Stegostoma tigrinum: one gene and its partner. The protein of the gene in region 1 purifies or fractionates together with the protein of each later gene. This does not show direct contact. Links are inferred from orthologs where the notes say so. Each region holds a gene or a part of one and is shown in the gene's direction. Other genes may lie near its edges.

The links. The genes of interacting proteins can lie anywhere in the genome.
Region 2: the proteins of sin3aa (region 1) and chd3 purify together in Homo sapiens (affinity purification with western blotting; 3 studies listed by BioGRID, with this or other methods). This does not show direct contact. The link is inferred for Stegostoma tigrinum from reciprocal best matches to the Homo sapiens genes SIN3A and CHD3.

Annotation. Positions count from the first base shown.
Region 1 is NC_081389.1:4,649,282-4,653,030, forward strand, and holds the start of sin3aa (SIN3 transcription regulator family member Aa), read left to right. Parts: upstream 1-1,295; 5' UTR 1,296-1,337; intron 1,338-1,649; exon of another isoform or gene 1,650-1,753; intron 1,754-2,070; exon of another isoform or gene 2,071-2,217; intron 2,218-3,082; exon of another isoform or gene 3,083-3,380; intron 3,381-3,749. UniProt on the Homo sapiens protein: Acts as a transcriptional repressor. Corepressor for REST. Interacts with MXI1 to repress MYC responsive genes and antagonize MYC oncogenic activities. Also interacts with MXD1-MAX heterodimers to repress transcription by tethering SIN3A to DNA.
Region 2 is NC_081398.1:14,312,525-14,316,273, forward strand, and holds the start of chd3 (chromodomain-helicase-DNA-binding protein 3), read left to right. Parts: upstream 1-773; 5' UTR 774-1,212; coding exon 1,213-1,309; intron 1,310-2,855; coding exon 2,856-2,980; intron 2,981-3,749.

The DNA of each region.
Region 1 (3,749 bases):
CCCAAAATCCAGAGTAGAAATGGGCCATTTTCCAAGGTGACTTAAGCGGGTAACACTTCAGCTTCAGATGGGCATGGTTACCAGTCTCACTCCAGAAACTGGACCTCACACTGACATTCAAAAGCAGTACTGAGGGAGTGCTGCACCATCAGGGGTAGCAATAAATCAGGGCTCAGTCTGTGCTTTGAGTTGGATGGCAGTGATCCAATCACTGTTTCAAAGAACAATGATGTTCTCCAATATCTTATGAAATAGAAGCAAGAGCAGGCCATTTGGCCCTTCAAGCCTCCTCCACTAGTCAAATAAAACCATGGCTGACTTGATTGTGACCTCAACTCCAATCCTAATCCTGTGCTTTCTCAACTCCCTTGTCTATCAAAGGTCTGCCTAACACACTGACAGAAAATCCCACACACTATTGACTCTCAAGAAATTCCTCCTCATCTGCCTTAAACAGGAGACTCCTTATTTTGAAACTGTGTCCCCTAGTTCTCAATGACTCTATGAGAGAAAACATATCTGCAGAATTTTATATTTCAGTAAAATCAGATTCTTCCAAATTCAAATGTGTATCGGCCCAAAAGACCCACCATTCTTGGAAGACTAATGCTGTCATGCCCGGAAGCAGTCAAGCAAACTTTCTCTGAATTGCCTCCAATGCATGTATTCCCCAGATATTCGAGATGAAAACTTTTTTGCTCGGCCTGCTGTGTTCATCCAGCTCTACACCTTGTTATCACAGCACAGCAGACTATTTTTGTCTTTCTATCTCTGTAACATATGTATTGTGGAAAACGCTCATTTGTCCTGCATTGGTAGAATTTTGTCTACTTCAAAGGCACAGCATATGTGTCCGAATCAAACGACTATGGGTTCGACCGAGTCTCATTGCAGTAGGTACGGGCCAGTTATTGACTGCAGCACCGACATGAATGGGTCAGGGGCTCACTTAGCAGCCGATGGGAGCATGCTGTGCGCAAATTAGAGACGGGGCTTCCTAACACGACCACAAGAGGCCGTGAACATTGTGTTCGGTGGAGAGGCGGATTTTGAGATTTCTTCTTGAAATTGACATCTGCAATGCATCGGAAGGAAGAAGCTCCCGAATGCGGCCAGGCAGGGTCCCCGCCCCCGATGAGTAGGGAGGGCTGAGGGTGATGGGATGAAGGAAACTTCAGTCTCTCGGAGTCAGACAGTTGTTGGCGGGGTTGAGTTTAAAGCAGTGACGCTCTATCAGTCCCCTCCCTCCCCGGGGCCTATGTTAATGAGAGGGGGTGTATCCATTCTCGGTTTGCCTGTGAGAGCGGAGGGGAGGGAGAGCAGCTGGGAGTTTGTGGGTGAGCGAACCCTCCGATTCTCTGTGTTGTTTGTAGATGCTTTCCTTTTCTGAATGGTTTTTCTTCTGTTTTGCACAAGGGGTACGGGCTGGAGGAAGGAAAGAGTCCGTTCACTTGGAGGGGGGTGAAGAGGGGAGTGTGTGTGTGTGTGTGTGTGTGTGTGTGTGTGTGTGAGTGTGAGTGAGAGAGAGAATGTGTGTGCGCTTAGGAAGGGGGTGGGGGAAGAGCTCCCCGGCCTTGGCGAGTGCTTCCTGAGCCTGGGGAAGGGCTGGGTTTGGGGCGGCTGCTGCTGCGAGCCAGGGGCAACGTTCGACTTCACCCGCTATCCCCCTGGGGAAGGGGGAGAAAAACACACCGTGCTCCTGAAGCCACCCCCGCCCCCCCAAACCGGGGCTGCCTCTTCTCGGGGAGGGAAGGTGAGGAGAGGGCGGTGTTGCTCTCACTCTCTCTGGCCATCAGCTTACTATTTATAATCTGCTCGGTGGGGAGTAGCGGCACGGAGAGAGCGGGGCTGCCCGCTCTCGTGTAGCTGGAGAGGGGAGCGAGGCGGAAGGGAAGCTGCGCAGTCTACGGGCCATTTTGTTGTGTCGGATTCTCGGAGCCGCTTTGTGGGGAGGGGAGGGGACGGGAGGGACTTGATCGGATTAGGCTCCACCTCCCCTTGTGCCTTCAGACACCCCCACACTCCTCCCGTGCTGGAGAGCCGCTTCCATCATTCTCCCCGCGCATACCCTCTCCACTCCCTCACCCCCAGCGGGAGTGTCTCCGATCCCGGAATGTGTAACAAAAGCCTGTCGCAACTTTCTGGGTCGTGGAACCAGCCTTCCACCGGCCTCAGCTCCCGGGGACGGACAATGAGGAAGAGAAGCGGCGGGGAGAGGTGACCGGAGGGGGGGGGGGGCGGCGGGGGTGGTGTATGATGTTTCATTCGTTCCCGGCCCCATACTGCCGCCACCACCACCTTCCCCGACTGTGTGCACCCTGGCAGTTAAACACCACTACCACCACCACCACCTTCTCCTTGGGTAGCGAATCTCTTCCTACCCGCCCCCACTGCCATGGGTTAGCACATCCACAGGCAGCAACCAGTCGTCGTTGTCGTCGTCCTCCTCCTCCTCCCCGCGACTCCGGGGTCTGCGGCCTCCTGGCTCGCTCCCACACAGTAAACACGGTATAGCCCCGCCCCCAGATCACTGGCCCCGCCTCGTACTTCCTATTGGTAACTACCGACTGTCGCCGCCTTCCCATTCCTGATTGGTTGGTACTATAAGGAGCTGATTGGCTCCTGCCCCCCTCGGATGCGTCACAATGGAGGTTCACATAACGGGGCGGGGATTCCCTCACGCGCGGAATGGGATTGTAACAAAGAGACAGGGAATTCCCACCCGGAATTACTCTCTCCGGTGGAGAGCCCAACGGTGGAGTCACCCTCGTCGGGGTTTGGGGGGCAGAGAAGGAAGGAAGCCAGGAGGAATCCTGCTTGCTATAACCCTCACCTGAATCAGTCAACCCTGGGGAACTGGGGCAGGAGTCCTGCCCGGAGTCCCCCTCTCCCGCGGGGAAAGACAAACGAGGACTTTCCCCCTGGAATTAATCTCACCCTGGAGGAAGGGGTGGGGTGGAGAAAGAGAGACCTGCCCGCTGTCACACTCTCGCGGGGAAGAGACGGATCCACCCAGCGTCACCCGGGGATATTGGATTTCCTCCTGCTCGGAGTCACTCACTGGGTTTCCCGCTCCTCTGAAACTTAAATGACAGCAATGAATCCAGTTCCTTCCAGCTTCCAACCTGAAACCTTCAGGAAAGAAAGAGGAAGCCGAATGCCCTAGTTGAGTCACCCCGGGGAGCCACTGCTGTATTTTGGGTACCGAACTCCTAAACGCGAAGGGCCGCGTGGATTCGGCGAATTTTGAAGCGTCCTGGTTCTTATCACAAATTCAAGAGTGAAAACACTACCCACCAATGAAAAGCTCCAGGGCCAGTGTTGACTGTATCGAGTTCGGGGCGAGCAAGGGGTGGAGCCCAGACTTTATTGACCCAATTGTAATCATCCTTCAATCTTATTTATACTCTGGTGTTCTGTGCCCCTCCAAAAACAGTGAATTCAGCGATCTTACGGTGTTTATCGAACTTTCGACCTACAGGCGATGAATAATATTTACTATTAGTGGTAGCAGAGAGGTTGAACAGTTAGAAGATTCGAAGCTGCTGAGCCGTCTAGGTCTCCTGAGAAAGGAAATCGACTTTTACTTTTTTTAAAAAAAGTGCACGAACACCGCACTGGGCCCGACTCCATATTTTAAACTCAAAAAATACCCTCCCGCTTGCTAACTTGGTTCTTCATTCCCTAAGGGCTTGAATCATAAATTTGTAAACACGTTAACAAATCAAAACACAAATAGCCTTACATAA
Region 2 (3,749 bases), on another chromosome or scaffold:
AGGTCATGGGATATTTTACGTCCCACTGAAGAGGTAGACGGTGTCATATTTTAATATAACATCTGAAAGATGGTACTTCTGACGAGGCAGTGCTTCCTCTGAAGCGCTGAGAAAGTCGGCTAGAATGTAGCGCTCAAATCTCTGCCAAGGGAATATAAAGTCACAGCCTGAGTGCTACTCACTGAGCCACCAGACATGAATCCCTTGGGAGCAATGTTGCACCAAATATATTGTTTCTGCTGCTTTAATACAGTGTCCAACAAATTGGGGCCATCAGTTTTTTTAGGTTTGAAGTGGAAAATAACATTGCCAGTGGGACTTTTTAAAAAAAAATGCTGTTTCTTTTGGTTCGCGGGAAAATTTTGGAGATGAGATAGGGGACAATTTTTTTTAACAAGTTGCTGTGAGGACCCAGGGACATTGAGGAGAGGAAAGAAGCGGGCATCTTTCTTCGAACTGGGTAGGAAATGTTTGAGCATGAAAAGAAGAAGGAAGATGCTCATGTTTGACCGAGCAGAGAGGACCAAAATATAAGTTGAAAGTTGACCTTGAAGGTGTTTATCATGATGTTAATGAATCAGGAGCAATAGGGCCAAAAGGAGGCTGACCACCCTCACCAACTTGACTGAAAAATGGCAATTGCTGGACATCCCCTGGTTACTTGGTTAAAGACCCACGTGAGTCAGTCCTAACTAGTTAAACTGGTGCTATTATGGGATGCAGGGTGCCCATAGCAACGGGAGGGGGTGACGTCAATCTGAGCATGAGCACTGATTAATTTTCCACCTTTTTTCTCTTCAAATTCCCCCCCCACCAAATTTCATAATGGGGGGGTGGAAAATATTTTGGACGCCATCTTTTCTTCCCCTTGTATATTAAAACATTTTTGAGGGGGTTTGGTTAAGTAGCTTGGAACTTTTTCCTTAAGAAAGGGAAGGGGGGGTCTTTAAATTGAAAACTAGCGAAGGAGAGAGATCTGATCTTTACAGGAAACCCTCACACAAAAACAAAAGTCTGTAGGATAACTTTTGTTTGTGTGTATAGGGGAAAAAATAGAAACCGTTGGGGGGGGGGGGTGTTCCCGAAGAAAGACTGGCGTAGCTTTCGTTATTTTGTGTACATATATGAAAAGGGAAGGGGGGAGAGGAAAGAGAGTGAGGAAATATATTTTTATTGAGTGAGTAGGGAGGGGTGGGCGAAATTCCTGAGGCCATGGCATCTCCAGTGAGGCACCCAGAAGAGGAGGAGGATGAGGAGGACATGGACGAACGCAGCGGCGCCGGTTTGCAGCTTTTCCCGCCAGCGGCAGGTTAGCGCGCGCGCCGCTTTCCCCGGGGCCGCTTCTAAAAGCTATTTTTCTCCCAACCCCAAAATTGCAAAAACCTTTCGACATTAAGTGCTCGGGTAGAATGCACGAGGGGCGGAGGGCTGCAATGGCAATATGGCATCTCTTCCCTTCACCCCCACGAATTATTTTTTTCCACACCCACAGCCCCCCTCCCCGTGCAGTCGTTTGTGTTTTTTTTCTCATCTCTCAATATTTGGTTGGTGTCCTCTCCGACGCCGGCGTTTTATTTTTCTTTCGGTTTGGCCGGCTGCACGCGTTAAAGCTATTTTTCTTTTGGGAATGTTCCCCCCCCCCCCGGATTGTTGGCTTGCAGCGGCCGTAAAGTTCATTCTCTTTCTCGCGCCGTTTAAACCCTCACTCCTCCTCCCGCTCCCTGTGCCCTCAGACGCGGCTCCTGCTGCAAGTGGAAGCCCGAGCCCCGGGGGCCGCGCGCTCCTTGTGCTAACGGCCGCGCCTGTCAATCAAACGCTGCTGCTACAACAACAACCCGCCGAGGGGGCGAGTGACAGACAAGACACAGAGAGAGAGAAGCACGATCTCCCGGCGAAACAAACCTTCCTTTTTCCGACCCCCACCCTCGACAATATCTGTGTAAATACCCCCCCACCCGGGGCGGACTTTAAATTTTCTCTTTGTGTGCTCCTCTTGTGAGCTCCACGGATGTTTTCATCTGAGGTAATAAACCCCCCCCCTTCACCATAGGTGCGATTTATATCTTTGTGATATCCTCAATTGCTCGTTGTTTGCCCTGTCTTCCTCTTCCTCCTCCCCCCACAATAAGATCGGCTGCCAGTTTGTTTAGTTGCCCATTTATCCTTCTTTTCTCCTCCTTTCGCGCCCCCCCCAAAAAAAAACAAAGCCGGCGGCCGCCATTTTCTCGCTCGGCGGCGGCTCCCTTTAACTCTTTCACTGCCCCGACACCAGCCTTCCTCCACGTACAGCATCTGCTCTCCCCAACTGATCCGCCTCAGAGGCATGTGGAGCTGAGACACACCTTCTCCCCCGCCAAACGGTAACTTTTTGAACAGTGGAATATCTTGGAATGTCCCGATGGCCAGCTCCTGTTCCAAGACCCTGAACTCACCATCCTCACCCTCTCTTCCTTAACCCAGTACATCCTTCTCCACGCTTTTCCGTTATTCCTGATTTTTTTTAAAATTTCTGTGTGCCCCTATTCTACCGCTGCAGCAGCTGCGTTGGTTTTCTAATGGTCCCCAGTGCTGGCTGATCCCTGGATGCTTTCTATCGAAGCATAATTCATATATTAAAAGAACACTTAAGTAGAGAACAGGGTGCCGAGCTGGATGAACACAGCAGGCCGGGCAGCATCACAGAAGCAGGAAAGCTGACATTTCGGGTCTGGACCCTTCTTCAGAAAATTGCATTAATTGGCTGTGATCTGGTTGAAGGGCAGAGCAGGCTCTAAGCCGAATGGCAACCTCTAAGTACTTAAGGCCTTGGTGTTTAATGCTGCCGAATTGAAACAGTTGCACATTTCTTGTTTCAGCAGAAGATGTGGAAGAGGAGGACGAAGAGATTTCAGACAGTGAAAGTACCAAAAAGAAGAAGAAGAAATTCCTGAAAAAACAAAAGGAAAATAAACCAACTAAGCTGAAGAAGCGGAAGAAATTGGTGAGTAGCAGCAAGTTCTCTGGTTATTCACCCTGCAGCTAGATATTTTCCAGTTGACCTGTTCAGTCATATTATGATGTACCTCTGGAGCAGTTGGTATTTGCTCCAAATGGTATTTGTTCCTTCTGACCCAGAGATACCAGTGAACCCCAATGGCCCTTCCCATTAGAAAACGTATGCTGCAGGACTAAAAAATGGATCTTCCATGTAGCCTATTCTGCCACCTTGCCACCGCACCACCTCCTTTTGAGGACGAAGCTGGATGGAAAAAAGAATCGCCGTGTGCTCCATTAGCCATGCAGGGGATGATGGAGTAGACAAACTGAAACCCTAACCCATTAAAAATCCATTGACTTTCCATATTAGCAGATGTTCACCTGCACATCTGCCAATGTGGTATACTGTATCCACTGCACCCGGTGTGGCTACCTCTACATTGGGGAAACCAAGCGGAGGCTTGGGGACCACTTTGCTGAACACCTCTGCTCAGTTTGCAATAAACAACTGCACCTCCCAGTCACGAACCATTTTAACTCTCTCTTCTCCCCCCCCCCCCCTTCCTCAGACGACATGTCCATCGTGGGCCTCCTGCAGTGCCACAATGATGCCACCTGAAGGTTGCAGGAACAGCAACTCATATTCCGCTTGGGAACCCTGCAGCCCAATGGTATCAATGTGGACTTCATAAGCTTCAAAATCTCCCCTCCACCCACTGCATCCCAAAACCAGCCCAGCTCGTCCCCGCCTCCCTAACCTGTTCTTCCTGTCA